2 linked regions of the Rhinolophus ferrumequinum genome follow. The protein of the gene in region 1 purifies or fractionates together with the protein of each later gene. This does not show direct contact. Links are inferred from orthologs where the notes say so. Each region holds a gene or a part of one and is shown on either strand. Other genes may lie near its edges. The genes, in order: SLC16A11 and EMB.

Region 1 (9,609 bases):
AGAGAGGACCAAAGAGCCACACACGAGGAAGGAGGTAGTGAAGTCTCCTGTCTCATCTCTTAGGAAGCCTGAGAGGAAGGGGAAAGGAATTTAGAGGCCTCAGATCCCAGGGGCAGAGGATGTTGGCGAGGTGAAATGGTGGCTCAGGTCCTTACCTGACAGGGGAGGGCCCAGAAGCCCCCCAAGGCTCATCAGCATCATCACCAGCCCCGTGGCCTGTACAACACCTTCGATGCCCACTAGCCCCGGAAGCACACCGAAAACCAGTGGGGCGTAACCGCCGGCGCTCAGCCCGTAGGCCCCAGCTGTGGCCAGCAGAGAGCCCTCCCAGCCCTCCTTGTTTCCCACTACCGGCACCAGCCCCACGGCCAGCAGCCCCAGTCCTGTCAGAGCCCCAAACACCGCCAGCAGCCGTGTGAGGGGCACCCAGCCCTGGTCCGCCAGCCACCCGCAGACCAGCCGGGCGCCTGCATCTGCCACCGCCGCCACCGCCACCACCAGCGCTGCTCCATACCCCCCTAGGCCTTGGTCTAAAGCGTGAGGGGCCAAGTGCACATAGGGGACGAAGTACCCACCCCCCACCATGGCTGTGCCCAGAGCAAAAACTAAGAAGGAGCGGCGAGTGAAGAGATCTAGGCCGAGGGCAGCTAGGGGTCCGTGGGGTGGTGCTGGAGGGTCGCCAGGAAGCGCTAGGGGTCGCAGAAGGGCTCCACAGGGAATGAGGTGGAGGGTAATGGCACCAAGGAGGAGCAGGGCCCCCCGCCAGCCGACAGTATGCAGGAGGAGCTGCAAGGCGGGGGCCAGGAGCAGCGAGGAGGCCCCGCTGCCCGTGAGGGCCAGCCCCACAGCCAAGACTCGACGGCGGGAGAAGTAACGGGAGAGGGTCCCGACGGCAGGGGCAAACACCAGGGCCCAGCCGGAGCCTGTGAATGGGTAAGATGGGGTGAGGACCAGGGATGCCTGCCCCAATAATCCCAGCCCTGCTCCTTGGAGGGGGCCGCTGTCCGGTTGGCCTCCAGCCCCCAACCAGCTCCTATTTTCACCATTACCCCGTAATGACCCGGGTATCCTCTCCCCTCACCAGCAAGGACGCCCAGGCCAAGGTAGAGGTGTAGCAGACTGCCGGCAAAAGCCGAGAAGATGAAGCCGAGTGAGGTAAGGATGCCCCCAACCATCACCACCGGGCGTGCTCCCCAGCGGGTGCTCAGTGCGCTGCCCACTGGGCCTAGAAGGAGGCAGAGTAAACGGAAGACACGCCCCTGAGCCCCAAAACTCGATTCAACACTTCTCATTGGCTGTTTGCCTAGACCTAAAACTCTTCCCCTAGCCTAACAGCTCCTCCCCTTAACCTCATGACCCTCTCTTCTAGAATTTCGTTCCACCCGTCGCCCTTTCTCAGGTTATCTGGTAATCAGGTGGGTCCCCCACCACTACACTCAACGACTCCTCCACCCCATTCCTGCCTCCCACCTCGGGGTCCCCCCTCACTGGCTGCCTGCTGCACGGCTAGGGCCAGGGCGCTGACCCACGCAGTGTCCTGAGCAGTTCGGTCAAAGTGCTCCGCGAGGTCAGGGAGGGCAAGGCCCAGGGAACGCAACAACCCGTAGGAGAGCCCATTCACCACGAAGGCTGCGGCCGCCACCACCCAGCCCCAGCCCCCGTCTGGAGGTCCGGCCAGCTTGGGGGTCATCATCGCTGTCTGGGGGAGGAGGGAACACCTGTGAATGAAATCTCCATGTCTGTGCCTCTTCTAGGGACCTGGCATCCCTGACACCCAGCCTCTGGGGGCTGCTTGCCCAGGGAGGGCTCGTCACCCTGAGCACAAAAGGGCGGGGGTGGAGGGAGCAGGAGCTGGGCCTGGGCATAGAATTCCTGGGTACGAGTGAGGTACCGGGACTGGGTGACATCCTGGCTTGGGACTGCCCTTCCCGCCACACTCCTTACCCCTTACCCGATCTCTCCGGGCGATGAGGGGAGGGAAAGGGCGAGGAATGGCTCTGCCTGATTTCTCCCCGTTTCCTGTGCGGGCCGGTCCACAGAGGGGAGTGTGTGCAGAGAGGGAGCCCAACTTGGCTGGGCTCTCTCGGTAAACAGATCACTGCTGGGGGCCTGAGCCACCTGGGACGCGGTGGTACACAGGGCGGAGGCGAGTTGAGACAGCCAATCCGCGGAGCCCAGGGTGAGGCCAGAAGCTGAGTCCCACGGGGATTAAATCTCTCTCTCTCTCTCTCTCTCTCTCTCTCTCTCTCTCTCTCTCTCTCCCCTCCCCCCCTCACGGAAATTAAATTACACACACACACACACACACACACACACACACACCAGCCCCCGAAAAAGCAAGGAAAGAATGCCACCCTGCCCATGGCCACGCATCTGCCGCCTGCTGCACACGGAGAAGACGCGTGGATTGCAATCCCCAGCAAGCTCAAGGTTGGTAGGCAACGCACTGAAACGGGGAGGGGGGGGTCCCCCAACGCCTGAGGCAATGAGTAGTTTTGTTCTCAGGAAACGTAGCTGGAAGACCAGGTAAATCTTGGCTATCAAATTACAGACCTCCACTGAGTGCTTATTGCACGCTCTACAAGAATATGCCCTCAAAGATTCAGGTGAAGGAAGAGGACTCCCTTATTATGTATGAGGGGCTGTGATGTGCCAGGAGATTTTTACACATGTCCTCTCTTCATCCTCACAATAACCCTGTGATGATGGTGCCATCCTCATTTTACAGATGAAGTAACTGAAGCTTCCAGAGGTTAGGTGACTTGCCCAAAATCACCCAGCTAAAAAATGGTGAAAATATTTGAATTTGGGTCTGTCCAACTGTGGGACCATACAAGCAGAACAGACCTACGACTGAAACAGAATTTGCCACAGTGAAAGGACATGATGGCCTGGAGACAGTTTGATTCCAAATTGGCCTGCAAATGGCAGAGCCTTTTCAGAGCCAAAGAGTTTATAATTCTAAGATAGGGTTTACTGGGAAAAGAAAGGATCCTTGTGATTGGAATCGCTAAAGATTGAGCGATTAGAATTTTAAAAACAAAGTAAGAAATCCAAGAATTGAACCCAGGTACTGATTTCTTGAAAAACTTCATAAAAATTATCCTTTTTACATTAGGATTAAGGTTACCATTGTTTTACTTCAGCTATTTGAATCAAGAGATGTGTTCTTTAATTATGAAACAATATCAGAAAATTCAGCTATTTACAGTTTGGAGCATGTATCACCCAAAAGCCACATGATGGCAGTACTTCCCAATTGTTGAGAAGTATCTGCAAGTAAAGAAAACAACAGCTTAAGTAGTGAAACTGTAAACCTAACAAACACAGCCTGACCTTGATGACTCTCTACAGACAATAGGAGGGGGAGAAAAACTCAATTTATGAGGTCTGACAATTAAGTTTGTGAACTTGTTGCAATGATGTTGCTAACCTTTTTTGATATCAGAGGAATTGTTCATTATGAATTTGTACCAACTGAACAAACAGTTTACCAAGTTTACTATTTGGAAGTGCTAAAAAGGCTACGTGACAAACTTTTTGCCAATAATTCATGGCTCTCACATTACGACAATGCACCATCTTACACAGCACTGTCTGTGAGGGAGTTTTTAACCAGTAAACAAATAACTATTGGAACACCTTCCCTACTCACCTGATCTGACCCCAAATGACTTCTTTCTTTACCTGAAGACAAGGGAAATATTAAAAGGAAGACATTTTGATGACATTCAAAACATCAATGGTAATGTGACGACGGCTCTAATGGCCATTCCAGAAAAAGAGTTCCAAAATTGCTTTGAAGGGTGGACTAGGCGCTGGCATCGGTGCGTAGCTTCCCAAGGGGAGTACTTCAAAGGTGACTGTAGTGATATTCAGCAATGAGGTATGTAGCAGTTTTTCTAGAATAAGTTCGCGAACTTAATTATCTGACTTTGAACTTTGGGTGTAAAGCCTTTCACAACTAAAAGTAGACCCAGGATACATTTCTATTCCATTTCCCTCCTCTTTCATATACCCTTCCACCAGCCATAGTCTTACCTGCTCCATGGACATACCTGTCTTTTTCTCACTCCTGAATTCTTGCATATGTCATGCCCTCTGCTTGAAATGTCCTGGGTAGGGCACAGGAATCCACGAAGGTTTAAGATCCTGCCACGTATATCGTAGGAAAGTGGTCTCACTGGTTTCTCTAGCCTGGGTTGCTGTTGTAAAAGGCACCTGGGAGGTGGAGCTAGCAGATCCTCAGCCACCGACAAGGGCACTGAGCCCACTCCTGAGATGGGTGGCGAGGACTCTGTCCCAAGTTGAATAAAGCCAACTGAAACAAATTACTCCCTCTCTGTGGTGAAGTAGAAATGCAAACCAAAGAGGAGACAGGGGCCCTCTAGGTCTGGGAGTTGTATAGTTATGCTGAGCACCTTTAAAGGATACTTGCGAACCCAGAGGGTGTCCAGAGCCTGGGACTGGGGTGATTGGTTGTGAAAGAGAACATTTCTCTTCTACCTCAAGTTCCCTATATTCTTAGCCAAAATTGCCATCACTATATGTCTTCTGCTCATGGAGTTTATATAAAGTTGAAATTGGGAGAATGGATTCCCAAGCTAGACTTCCTGGGTTTGAATCTCATCTCTGCCACTTATTAGCTGTATTATTGTGAGCAAATTTTTCAATCCCTCTGTGGCTCAGTTTCCTCATCTCTAAAATGGGGATAATAATAGTAGCTACCTGATAGGGTTTTTAATAAGGATTAAATGAGTTGCTGTGTATACATGTATGAGTAAGGAACATAAAACAGTGCCTGGAACATGATGTGTGTCAGCCCCTATTGCTGCTATTGTTGTGACTTGGAGAAATCTGACTAGACCTTTCAGCATCACTGTGCTTTCACTACTTGTCTACATCTACTAATGTCTCAAGGTCAAAGATCCACATTGGTCTGCTGAGCTCTCAGTAGAACTACACGGGTTGTAAGATGTGAATAGCCACAAAAAGGTTAAATGGGATTTTTTTTTTTTTATGTGGTGAGTGATTTTCTTAGCATTTTCCAGAGTTCATAAGAAAATCCTGGTCTCTCTATCTTGACTCTAAAAACAAAAGAGAAGAAAGGAATCAAATTAAGTTTTGTTCATTCACTCCTTCAAACAAAACATAGACACCTACTATGCCAGATGCTATGCTTAGGGCTAGGGATAAAATTATAAATGATACAGTCTCTCCCCTCCAAGCTCCCAAAATCATTAGTAGAGAAAAAGTGAAATAAAAAAATCTCAGCACAAGGAGAGGGACGCGCACCATAGAGTAGTGCATGGGAGGAACTGACTCATTCTGCTAGGGCTTGCTGGGAAGGCTTCACAGAAGAGGAGCTCTTTGAGCTGGGTCTTGAAGGATGAGTAGGAGTTTGCCAGATGGATGTGTGGGCAAGGGCATTCCAGGCAAAGGGAACAGACTGTGGAAAAATCACAAAGGGATAAACCAGCTTGGCACATTGTTTATTGTTTGGAGCGCTGTAAATAGCTGCTGTATGGAGAACAGTGAGGGTAGAGAAGAACAATGTAGGGGCAGAAGGTCCCATCATGAAAGGTCTTAAAGGTCAGGTTAAGGAATGTAGATGTTTTCCCAAAGACTGATTCACTTGGACATAGCTTTCACGAATATTCACTAATACTGGAAGCTGAACACAGAGGAAAGAGGACTTATACCACAGTTAAGGCGTCAGGAGAGTCTGGGGTTATAGACCGTTCATGTGTGGGAAGTTTCTCGGAAATATCTTGTTTTACATTGAAAATTCATGTGGAATTTTGCATCCTCCTTCATAGTCTGGTGCATATTTTCATAGGAAAATAATGTTTTATATGACTAGATACATTATTTATGTTTTTCTCCCCAAGTCTTCTCCACTGATGGTGCAGCAGGTTTTCCTCTCGGAAGGCCTCTGAACAACTCCTAATCTGCATTAGATACCTCCCCCTTTGCCTAATTAACCCTCGTGAGAGCACTTCTCAGACTGCGGTGATATCATTCATTTTTATCTTTCCCCTATATTGCCCTGGAGGTGGAACCTTGCATTCTTGGTTTCTGGATCTTTGACACCCAAAGGTGCCAAATGTGAATGACGAATGACTGAATGAGAGAAACACTGAACAAGGGACTCAACAGGATGTGGTACCATCACACGAAGGGGTTGTTGATGGACCAAACTGATAATGCTTGCCCACATGGAGAAAGTCCCAGAAGTAGATACTGAGCCAGGTCGAGTCTTTAGGGAGATCAAAAGAGAGGGTCAAGGTCTGTACGTAATTTGCTTTGGGGACTACAGGATCTGGGAGTGTGTCTGTATTTGTGGACTCTGAAACTGCTCTGGAGTTTTCTCATGGGAGCCCCTGTGAGAGGTTTTGGGGGCCTCAAGGGTCTGCAACCTTGGGGAAGCCTTGAACTGAGCCTAGCCATTCCTTGGGTACACCCACTGGGGGCTCCCTCTATAGAAGGTGGATGGGAGGGAAGGGGACAGGCAAGGACAGATGGTATTACCCACAAGAAACCTGGCTCTCTTTGAGGTACACAAAAATATGAGACTTTGTGGTGTTTGGCCCAGCTGATCTTGGGCTTCTAAGTGCCTAATAGAGCTGCCTCTCACCGCTCACCCACCAGAATCCTTTCCTTCCCTAGCTCACCGAGAGACCAGGCCATGGGAAGTCAGCATACACCTCAAAGCCCAGACCCAGGGTCTAGAAAAGTGGAAGAAGAACTTGACCCGGGAAAGGAGGAGATCACAAGGTCAGGGTTTGTGGTTCAGGGCCAGGGGAGCACATCTGTTGAGGTGCTCTGCACTGGGAGTGGGGAGTGAAGCAGGAGGGTAAGTGCACTCACTCAGGCAAGTGGGGCTCATTATGTGCAGAGAACACATCTACACAGGAATGGAGAACTGACATGAGTCTCCTGAACTTTGTGTTGGGACTGGGACTGGGGAAGGAGTCTGCTGAGTCTAGGGCTGGGGGAGGCCATGGTCAGGTAGAAGTTGGCACTGATGAAGACAGAGCTGAGGCTGAGCTAGGTTTCAGACAAGACCTGGAATGGGTTGGGATGGGGTGGGAGTCCTACCCCACATTACTTCTCTCATCCCCTCTACCAAGTCCATTTCCAGTGCATCTTCCAATCCAGTCCCCATGCCTTCCCTCCGTCACCATCCCCCACCTCCCTAGCCCCCTTAAGTGCTAAAGGTCTGGAGCCTCTGGACTACCCAGTCTTCAGGAGGGGCATCAGGATGGTGGAGGAAGCACCCAGCTAATATGTTTGAGCCTGGTCTGTGTGTCTAAATCTCCAAATGTGTCTTATCTGGCATTTTCTGATTCTGGGACTTCGGCCAACATCTATGTCAAAGTTCTTAGCTGTAAATCATAGGCACTCGCTCCAAGTTATTTAAGGAGCGAAATGATTGATTACAGGATATACTGGGTAGATCTCAGAATTATCAAGAAGGCTAAAGAACTCAGTTTGGCAGAACACAGACTGCCACAGGGCTAAATGGGTCGCCAAGGCTGCTGCTGTCACCATTGGACACTAGATGTCGCTGCTGGCTCTCTGCGTCCACAATGCCTAGAAACTGTTGCTGCTCGGAAGTGTTCTCTACTTTATTCACCACTAGCTCTAAATCCAAGTCCAGGGTCAATATTGACCCTGAACCTTCGTCATGTGCTCTCATTGTGGCTGGAAGGGACACCAAGAAAGTAAACACTTGGTCTTTTCAGTGTCTACAGGTAGATAGGTTCTGCCTCCCACCAAAAAAAATAAGGTGGGACATGTCAACCATACCTCAATAAAGTAGAATAATAGTAATAATAATGATGATGATGATAATGATAATAATAATAAATTTCTCAAACGGAGGAAGAATTTCAGGTGCAAGGCAGTCCAAACATCCACTAAAAACCGGTTGTCAGGATAGGAATGGAATTTGAATCGAGACAGCCATGTGCATGCATCCTGCAAAAGCAAACATGGGGAATTGTTAAAAGCAAAGTTCGTGATTCTTAACTCCAATATTTTCTAGGCATCTAGATTGTTGGTGAGACTTCTGCTAAATAAGGCTTGGAAAGGAACAGTTCAACTCTAGGCACGTGGTAGGCACTGTACAAATGGAATTTCCCTTCCATTTCACTGCCTCCCGTTTTCTAGCCCCAGGTAGTCACCCCTTCATCTCTACTTCAGTCCCATCTTTACTCCAGTTCCCTGTGCTCCTCATGTCTTGATTTGAGAGGGGACAGTCACACCAGAGGGACAAGAGGTGATGTCTATCATTTCCTCCCTGTAGTATCCTGTTTCCCTGAAAGTAAGACCTAGCCAGACAATCAGCTCTAATGCGTCTTTTGGAGCAAAAATTAATATAAGTCCTGGTATTATATTATATTATACCCAGTCTTAATAGTAAAATAAGACTGGGTATTATATTAATTTTTGCTCCAAAAGACACATTAGAGCTGATTGTCTGGCTAGGTCTTATTTTTGGGGAAACATGGTACCCAAACTTAGCTACCTCTGAATTTTCTGGGCCCTCTGTCAGCCTTCCCAATCCCAGCCTGGGACCTCACATCTGATTGAAAGGACTCAGCCTCTTAGGGGACTCCGTTGACAACGCCTAGATCTGCCATGGGGTTACAGTGGCCCTGGGGGGCCAGAATCTACTTCCCAGCTGAGTAGTGTCAACCAGGATCAGAAGCCAAGGTGGGAGGAGACAGGCAGTCAGATAACAGGTGTCCTGAAGCTGTAGGAATGTAAATTGGACATTCTGCAGATCTAACGTGTAAGGCAGAGTTGTCCAGGCCTGTTCTTAAGGTTGCAACATGGCTGTAGCAGTTTCACATATGACATTCAAGTATAACAATGTTCAGAAGAAAATGAGCACATCGCTTTCAGTGTATCCCCCGTGGCAGTCAGGAAATCTTTGCCTACAGTCCCCAGCAGATAGCTCTTCATCCATGGCCAAGTTTACATCCCTTGTCCATGATTAAGCCAGCCACTGACAAGGGGGATGGCACCACCATGACCGACTTACTGTCATCAGGTCCTACCTCTGGGCCTGTGCTAGAGCCAGATTCACCTAAAGCACATGACTATATGGAGTAGAGTGGGTTCCTAAATACCATTTCGGGTCAGTAAGGAAGGAGAAAAAAAGAATCAGTGTTGAATAGGAAACCAAAAGTGCTAAGCCATCTATGGATTCCCCATTGGTGCCTGAAGGGACTTGGAGAGGTTGGAAAACCAAAGATTACTCTGGAGGAGTCCATTCCTCCAGACTCTGCTGTGGACTTTTTCCTTGTTACTATTAATGAGATTTGTTCCCTCTGATTTTTACCACAAACTTCTCCCTCCTCCACCACACATACACACAAGCAACAGGAAGAAACACCTATACTCTGTATAAAAGACCTGACATAATGAATGGCATGAAGTGGGCATCAATATAGCAGCAATAAATAAATACATTTCTCTTCTCCCCCAGTCTAGATGTCCACACTCACATCCTAACTGGTCTCCTTGCCTCCAGCTGCCCCCAGCAATCCATTCTCTTCACTGTAGCAGAGTGATTTTTTTTTCCTCCAAAATTCAAAT
Region 2 (9,374 bases), on another chromosome or scaffold:
CAACATCTATCAAAGTTGAAAACACAAATAGCTTTTGATGAAGCAATATTATTTTCCAGATTATAGTCACCATGTATACTTTTTTTCTGAACTACTAAAGAAACACACAATAATATTAAGTTTTGAATTCTTTGTAAATGGGAAAGGGCCAAACAATATAAATGTAGTCAATTGAGACCTGGTAAATACCTGGTTGAACATCCACAGAAAGGAATAATATTTAGCTGTTTAAAGGGGAAAGCTCTAAATGGAAGAAGGAGATATACTACAGAAGAAGAAAAGCTGGGTGTGGGACAGTGAGCACAGGATGCCGTCTTCCGTGTGGAAGGCACAGGTACCCAGAAACATTTTGCATAGATTTAGAATATCCCTGGAAGAAGGCAGCAATGGATACCCGTCATCCCTGGGAAGGGAGGGTGGGTGGGGGACACTCCAGGAGATGGTTACTTTTCAAAGAATATCCATTTGTAGCTTTTGAGTTTCATTCTTTCATTCTTCAATGGTGTGCTGGGGCACATAGGATGCAAATGGAAACCAGGCACTGTTTCAGCATTTAGGAAACTAAACAATGGAAATAAAACAGATGATTATAGCATCATCCACAAAAAATTGGGATAAGAGGGTACAGAAGATGTGTGGGAGCCCGAGAAGAAGTTCTTAAAGAGGGATAATCAGAGAATTTTCTGGAGAAAAGGGCACACAGAAATTCAAGTGAGGATTAGGCAGTAGAGCTATAGGCAATACTATTCCAAAAGTCAACAGAAAAAAAGGGCAGGGCAGGTCAGAGGAGGAGAGGGGAGAGTAAAAGAGGTTGCCAAATTGGAGAGGGGTTGGTAGGTGGGTGAAAAAGGTGAAAGGATTAAGAAGTATAAATTAGTAGTTACAAAATAATCATGGAGATGTAAAGTACAGCATAGGGAATATAGTCAATAATACTGTAACAACTACATATGATGCCAGGTGGGTACTAGGCTTACCAGGGGGTCACTTTGCAAATTATATAAATGTCTAACCACCATGCTATACACCTGAAACTAATATAAAATAATTGCATTTCATCTGTAATTGAAAAATAAAAATAAATAGAAAAAATAATGAGACGTAAAGTCAATGATGCACACGGGACAGCTGACGTTGGGCATATTTCAAGTATTTATCATGAATAGAGTTCGGGTGAGGGAAGATGTTGAAAGGTAAGTTAGAGTTCAATAAGGGCCAGATCATAAAAAGCCTTAGATATTGCATATTATCCCCAAAGCAAAGGTGAGTTATTAAATGAGGACGTAGAAGGAGAATCTCGTATGGAAACAGTATAAGGCTTTTATTTAAATTAAGGCAAGGTACAGAAAGTTCTGGAAGACAGGAATGTCATCAGCTGCCATTTAACTGAAAATCCAAACAATAGTGCTGTCACTAATAGTTCTTGTTTTACACAGGTCAGGAGGTAGGTATCTCAGGGCTGGTGCAGCAGCTCGGTGATATCACCAAGAAGCCAGGTTTCTTTTTTCTTTCCTCCGCTACTTTTGGAAAAGTTAGCTGGTCACCACATAATTGCAGAGTTACCACTGCCAATCCTGGCATCAAGGCTATATTCAAGGTTGAAAGAAGGTGTCAAAAGGATGTGGCAAAAATCTTTCTCTGTTTAAGGATTTTGATCTCTTTGATGATCTCTTTGATGACAGGAGGCCTCCATAGATTTGCTATTTTTATCTCATTTAGCTATGCTTCCCCTTAGACATACCGTTGCTAAGGGGAGTGAGATTATACTCATTGCTTCAGACCAATTATGATTTATCTCCTGGGATGAGGTGGAGGACTTATATCCCTGAGATCAACGGATCTCCCTATGTTGGTAAATAATTTAATTAAAAATATATACATGTATATGTACACACTATATATGTGTGTATATACATGTACATGCATGTAAATACACAAATACACATGCATACACATATATATTTTCCTTCCAGAGGAGAGAAAATGACTATCAGTTGGTCACAGGTTCCAATTTAGAAATGATACAACCTTCTGAGTAGCTCTGGAACTTTTCATTTATCCTTTTTAGTATACAGAGGTGAGTAGAGTACTTTCTTCTTTTTCCTTCCATATCCACATCTTATCTTGTTCAAATATATATAATTATTTTCTTGTAGTGTGACTAGAATCAAATCTGATGTGCTCCCCTGCATCAGTTTTTTATTGCTACATAACAAATTCCCTACACAACAAACTTAGTTGTTTAACACAAATTTATTATTTCACAGATTCCGTGGGTCAGAAGTCCTGGGTACTCTATTCAGGTCTCACCAGGCTGCAATCAAGGTGTTGGCTGGGGCAGCAATCTCCTATAAGGATTTGGAGCTTTTTCCAAGCTCACTGGTTGTTGGCAGAATTCAATTCCTTGGGGTTGTAGGACTGACATGCTCAGCTCCTGGAGGTCGTTCCTCTCAACAGTCAGCTAGTTCACAATGTGACTGTTTCTTCCAGATAAGCATGAGGGCATCTTTCTCCCTAGGAATATTTCAGCCTGCTATAATGTCACCTACTCAAGGCAGTGACTACTCCATCATATTCACAAGCCTGCCCACCTTCAAGGGCAGCCAGGGCACACAACCAGGGGGACAGGAATCTTGGGGGCATTGCAGAATTTTAGCTACCATAACCTATGACTTGTGTTTGTACTTTTGGGTTTTTGTTTATTTTCTAGTAATCATCAGTAGCAAATTTTTGTCTTCATTTTTAGTACTTTACATATTACTGTCTGATATAATGCTTTCCTCCAATATTATTTAAGTAAAATATTATTTTTCAATAAGCAGTAACCTATATCCACATTCTCATTCTCACTTTCACACCTTCCCAGGAAACTGTCACACACTTTTCACTCAATGACAGCTTATATCTTAAAAGAAAAAACAATTATAGCATTATTTTATAAACATAAGTTTATAAAAAAAAAACGTTTTTCCTATACTAATTTTCTAATAAGTAAAAAGAGAGCACACTACAAGTACTATTTTAAGACACTGTAGAAAATATAAAGAATTATAGAATCATTTCCAGGTACTGAAAAGTTATAATGTAATTGGGAAAGAAGATGGAATCACGTAACAAGTTGAATACCAATAAAATATTTAAATGGAAATTCAAGCCAAGAATGAAGGCCAAGTCACAAGTCTGTAAATTATTAATTGTCAAATTAATCCTAGGGACAGTATGAGTTCAGAGGAGAGTGTTTGGGTTATTTCTTGTGGTGACTCAAACTACCCCAACATTTAGTGGCTTCAAACAACAGTGTTATTATACCTCACAACTGAGCGGGCCAAGAGTTCAAGCAGGGATCACCCAGGCAATTCTTCTGCTCCAAGGAGCATCACCTGGGATCATCAAGAGGTGCTTGGCTGGCCTTGTCTAAAGGCTCCAAGGAGCAGTAGGTGCTACAAATCTAGCACCTACTGCTCCTTGGCCGGCTGCTCTCTTTCCACATGGCATCTCATTGTTCTGGGTGCTCTATGTGGTTTGGGCTTCTTACAGAAATATGATAGTCATATTTCTTTCCTGGCAGTTGTCTTGTCAGAGTGAGGAGAAAGGAAGTGGGTGCTGTTGTGGTTTGGATTTGGAAACTCAGTGTTACTTCAGCAATATTCAATAGGTCACAGAGTCCACCCATCCTGAGGGGAGGAAACACAGGACTCTCCTTCCTCAGCACACCTCATGATGAGGAGAATGTCAAAGCATTTGTGACCACATTTAATTCACCATGAAGGGAAATTTCAGTTTGGAAAGATCAGAAAAAGCCATACAGGGAAGCTATTATATAAACTGGTTTGAAAGGATATGGAGCATTTGAAATGAGTGGGGATAAAGCTAAAACTGTCAATATCTACGTATAAATAGTATCGATGGGAAAAAGACTTTCAAGATGCTTAGTGAAACAAGAATTATATTTCTCAACTTATTCTGCTCTAACAACAAAAGTGATAGTGGGAATTAGCCTCAACTTGGGCAAGTCATTTTTTCCAGTTCATACGCAGACAAATTCAACTGGAAAGATAAATGAGGTCCTTTAAATGAGGTCAGCTTATTTGAAGAAAGGTGAATTTGAGAGTCAAGATTATACAGGACTAAATGGGGGAGATCTGTTACAGTTCAGTTTGTTTTGAGAAGTGCTTACCATTAAAACTCTCTGCAGGCATTGGCAAATGTTTGTAGTTTTTTCTGTGACACGATGCAGCACAGCAAACAGGTGTGATTTAGCAACCAATGATCAGGCAATTTGGGTTTAGCAAGTTGGGCCAAGGTCCTGAGGGCGCCGTCAGGTAAAATGTTTAGTTCTTCAAGGTCTCATAAGGCTTTGTTCAGAAAGGCTTACTCATTATAACCATAATTTTCTGACTGAGAAGAGGAGGCTTTTCTTAGATTTGCAGTTATAGATAAATAGCTCTCTAGATTAATTACTGTGTGTGTGTGTGTGTGAGTGCATGTGTGTGTGTTTCTTGCAGTACATGCAGCCTATTTTGAACACAGTGCTTGCAACGTGGTAGATATTTTATATGGGTTAATGAATTGTATTACTCACAGTCTCTCAACACTGATTGAAATAATCTACACTCTTTTCCATTGTCGAACCAGAAACAGTAGAATATCTTAGTAACGCATACCAAATAAAAAGTAAATATTCCTGCCTGAACTGAGTGTACCTCTCGTGCAGCACTTCAATTTTTAAAATTTGTATGTAACATTTGCTTTCAACCCTCTTTTTCTGGACACAGATATATTTCGAATTTATGAATATCTGAACCTGATGTTCAAAAAACAAAGAGAAAGAAAACAAAGCTCAGGATAAATAATCAAAAACAAAACAAACACCTTTTCAAGTGTTATAACTTCCTGGGGAATCATCAGATCTTACTCTTTTGTTATAATGGAGATTCTTCCTCCCTGCTCTGACAAAGCAATAGCTTTTAGTTGTTTTATTTTATTTGGTCAAGAGCACTGAAAACTCCAAGCTACAGCCTCACTGGGTAAGGAATAGCATTGTAAACAGTCTTCAAGTTCGACTCAGGTCCACAGGTTTGTGCAGTTTACATAGTAGTTATATTCGGTAGTTTTTGTTTGTTGAGCTCTAGGGGTTCCTCAAAACCTGTTAGGCCAAGAAACAAAAGGAAAAGAAAACACACACACTGTAGGGCCTTGGGACTCTGAAACCTTCATCTGGAGAGAACCGGTTAAGCCTTCAGAGACTGGAGGCGAGGGTGTGTGCAATTGGTACTTGGTACACAGAGCAAAGAAACATTAGTCCAGGATGTAACGCAAACTTGTCTCCTTAATAACCCAGGGGTGTCAGGGGAGGGGGTTGCGAAGAGTGTTCTCCTCTCATTTGTCCCATCAAAGTAAATAAGTGAACCCTGCTGCAAATGAACTGCAAAGGATAGTCTGCAGACATATAAACATTATATATATACGATATAGTTTCAACCCCTCCCACAGGAGATCAATTAGACAGCAAGTGCCCCGCGTCCTTAGCAGGCTCCGTCTCAGACCTGCCAGAGCCCAGATGGCAGAGGCTGGAGAGGATGCCGCTCGGATGTGGCCACCGCACATCCGGGCGCGCCTGCAGCGGACAGCGCGCTGCATAATTGATGGGGGGCCGGGCGCAGTTCTGGGTCGGCCTTGGACGCGGTGAGAGTGTCTCCAGGGAGCAGGGCAGGGCAGCCGGGCCCCTCCTACTTCGCCTTTTCTCGCGTGTCGCGTCCCTGGAACTGGCATCGGGCGCCGGGCCACCAGCGAGTATGCGCAGGGACTCCAGGCACCGACACTGGTTTGCCGAGGGAGCCGCCTGGGTGAGAAGAGCGGCGGACTCACCGACAACCATGCGCACCTTCCCTTGCCGGCGGGGACCCCCGGCGCCTCCGCCCCTGCCGCTGGTCCTCCTGTGCTTCCTGGCCGCTGCGCGCCCGAGCTTGGCGGACGGCCATGCCCCAGGTGTGACGGGTGCAGGACGGAGGAGGGGACTGAGGGCGGGAAGGAAGGGGCGCGGGAGGTGCGTCCCCGCTAGCGGAGGGCTGGCCGGCGCACCCAGGCGGGGGGTGTTGGTGAGAGGCGCGAGGATGCTGGCGGCCGCAGGTGGACCCGGGCGGCCGCCTTCTCCCTCCCACTGGCCACGCGTGGGTTACCTAAGCTGGAAGAGGGGACTGGGAGGCTCGTGTTCCTCCGCCCCGGCTCCTGAATTTGGAAACAACAGTGCCTGGGAGTTGGGAGTAGGGCAGTGTCAGGGTGCTCCTAAGGAGAGGGCGGTAGGGTGTGTGGGTGCCGGCGGGCGCTGGCCGCGAATGGCCTCTGCGAAAGGGGCAGTATTCCGAAAGCCATAGTCTCCAAGGCCGACGCTCTTCATCTGAATTGATAGTAAGGCTTAAATATCACCTCCTCTTCTTCCTAGCGGGTAGATTGGCTTTGGGAATGTGAAACAACAACTTAACAACGACAACCAAGCAACCAAACAAAGCCCACAACTCATTGGATTGTGTATCTTTTTTTACACCATGCTCTTTGACAATGAAGTTTTCCGTGGTGGTTGTTTCGTTAAAGACACTTTGAAAGTGGTATTTATGTGCAGAACATTATCAAAACCAAAAGCGAATTTGCCATTCTAGCTTCACGTGTTTATAGTTACTTTTTATGATGAAAGTGTTCCATCTAATCTACTTTCTAATACACATTCCTGCGTTATGAATTTCAGTGTTAGCAGCCAGTTAGGATAATACACCGCCTCACAAGTTGGCAAACATTGCCCATCAGTTAACTAAAATTGGGATATTGTTCTACACAAGGCTTTCAACTTTTCATAGGAATTCATTTTTATGAGTTTATAGCATGTGGATTCTTCATAATCTATAAAAGATGGAAAGATAATCAAAGATACGATTATTATTATTATTTTTTTAAATAAATGTCCTTTAAAAGGCCTCGTTCACAACTTGGACAAAACACTTTTGGGCTGCTTCAGTTTCCAAATTTCCTTGCTCCACATCTCTTCTTTATTCGTACCACTTAAAAGAATTGTCCAGCACAGTTTTCCTCTTCAAGCTATCCTTAATTCTTCTATCCCTGATTCACCCATCCTTCACCTCAAAATATTGCAGTTGTGAGGACCAATGCATTCTGGGTTAGTCCTAGAACGTTGGTTCTCTATTTGGCTGTATGTTAGAATTACTAGGGAGTTTAAAAATACTACCTGGATCCTGCCTTCAAAAATTCTGATTCAGTTGGCCTGGGATTCAGCCTGGACATCAAGAGATTTTTTAATTGCCTTGTTATTTTAATCATGTGATCCTATGCAGGTTGAAAACCTGTACTTTAAAATGATATGGCCTAGAGAATGCACCGTTGGGTGGATATTTATTCTGTTGGCATCAGAGTCAGGTTCAATTTGACATTCAGAGCAGACTTCTAGAGAGAAAGTAGGAAACAAGTAAAAGTGGAATAAATTAACAAAGTTGTAATTAAATGGGATGGTGTATGTATTATGGCAAATGTCTGTGTGTATATATATACACATATATATACATACACAGACATTGTATATATATATGTATATATGTGTGTGTGTGTGTGTGTGTGTGTGTGTGTGTATAAAAGTCCTGTCCTATTAGCTTCACTTAATATGGAATAATATGCCATATAAAAGGCATGAAGTTAGCATCCAATTTTAAGGGAGAATTAAAAATTGTCAGACAACTTCATCTTGTTTTATAGATTCTGTATTGATCTCTGTGAGACTCAATTTTCTCTTTGCTAAAGGACATTGTGAAGTTTACTGCTACTTTTTATCTAGATGCTTTGAACTTAGATACAGATGTTCTAGAAACCTAAGACTATTGGCCAAATTTTCATAAAAATGGTTATAATTTTTCACATTTACTATATAATTATGTGCATTGCCTACACACTGCATTATGCAGTTGATAGCCCTATGGGTTAGCTCTTATTGGCCCTGACTTTGAGATGAGGAAATTGGAATTTAGGGAGGTTAAATGATCGCCTAAGTACACATAATTAATTAAGCAGTAGAGCAGGAAATTTAGCATTGTTCAATCCAACCCCTGAGCCTGTCTTCTTAAACACAATACTCAGTTGTCTCCGAGATAATTGGATGTCTATGAAAGTTTGGAACCACTGACAAAGAGCGCAGTTGTGAAGCTAAATGCTTGATTTGAGCTGAAGGACATGCTGACACAGTGTGAGTCCTGCAATACAGTGAGGCACAGGACTCACCTTAACTCTTTCAGGCTGTTTCAGTTAAATAAGAATAGTAAAATATCTCTGTAAGGAGAAATATGACTTAAGTGGGAATATTCAAACATCTTTGCTTTTACTATTACGTGGAACAAATTGAGAGACTGGCTTGTGTTTATCTTTTGAAAAATGTTTGCAGGGGAGTCATTTGAAATGATCATTTTTAACTTCTAGAGTGACATGGCCTACATGCTTTATCAACCCCCATCCTTTCTATATGCCCCCCCACCCCAGAACAACTGCCTAATAAGAAATATTTATTGGAATAAATATTATTTGAGCACCTAGATGTGCCTGATATTGTGTCAGTCTATATCTAAGTAGAACTTCAGCAGTTTTTAACCTTTCAATGTGTTTAATATGTCCAAAGGAACAGGTTGACATAAGCCTATATTTAATAGGGTTGTATCTGATACATTAAAATAGTGATACTAAGTTTATCATATTTAAAATTACATTATGTAAACATTTTTAAAGATTTGGTTCAACTGTCTCTTCCTTTTCCTGGTCTTCTGTCCCCGCCTCTTGTCCCTTTTCTTTTCCTTCCCAGAATGAGGCCTATAGCCAGGAAGTGGGTATCCTCCTGTGTTGGAGGGTGGGAGCCAGAGGGGCCCAGATCAGGGAATTAGAAGCTGTGCCGGGTCAGGATGGTGTCCAGGAGGAGAGTAGCCCTGTTGTAGTGTTTGAGCCTGAGCACAGGGAGGTGGGCGCTCCTGCAGAAGACTGGCCTGGTGCTGGGCTTCAGAGCTCAGCAGAGTGACTAGGCCTTAAGCGCAGGGCCTGCAGGACATGTAGTGTCTAATGCTGATCAGGGGATGGAGGTAAAGCATGCAGGAGAGTAGACAGCGCAGGGTGTTGGAGCCTGAGTGAGCAAGACATCTTTGGGGTCAGGTGTGGCAGCGGCAAAGGGAGATGAGTTATATATAGGGTGTTTGCGCAATTCAATAAAGCTAGTAAGGATAATAAGATACAGGTTTTTCAGCAGTAAAGAAGAAAATAAAGGCGGACAACTAGAATGAACCTTGTGGTGTTAGATTGTAATTTGCAGCCTTAGTGTGAATTCATGACTTTAAATA

Evidence for each region.
Region 2: the proteins of SLC16A11 (region 1) and EMB purify together in Homo sapiens (co-immunoprecipitation; 3 studies listed by BioGRID and IntAct, counting the BioPlex papers as one, with this or other methods). This does not show direct contact. The link is inferred for Rhinolophus ferrumequinum from reciprocal best matches to the Homo sapiens genes SLC16A11 and EMB.

Annotation. Positions count from the first base shown.
Region 1 is NC_046304.1:12,268,090-12,277,698, reverse strand, and holds the start of SLC16A11 (monocarboxylate transporter 11), read right to left. Parts: upstream 4,233-9,609; 5' UTR 4,090-4,232; coding exon of another isoform or gene 4,059-4,089; intron 2,431-4,058; exon of another isoform or gene 2,326-2,430; intron 2,206-2,325; exon of another isoform or gene 1,945-2,205; intron 1,719-1,944; exon of another isoform or gene 1,700-1,718; 5' UTR 1,694-1,699; coding exon 1,489-1,693; intron 1,226-1,488; coding exon 1,082-1,225; intron 934-1,081; exon of another isoform or gene 924-933; coding exon 156-923; intron 69-155; coding exon 1-68. UniProt on the Homo sapiens protein: Proton-linked monocarboxylate transporter. It catalyzes the transport of pyruvate across the plasma membrane.
Region 2 is NC_046290.1:30,705,017-30,714,390, reverse strand, and holds the start of EMB (embigin), read left to right. Parts: upstream 1-5,555; 5' UTR 5,556-5,645; coding exon 5,646-5,988; intron 5,989-9,374. UniProt on the Homo sapiens protein: Plays a role in the outgrowth of motoneurons and in the formation of neuromuscular junctions.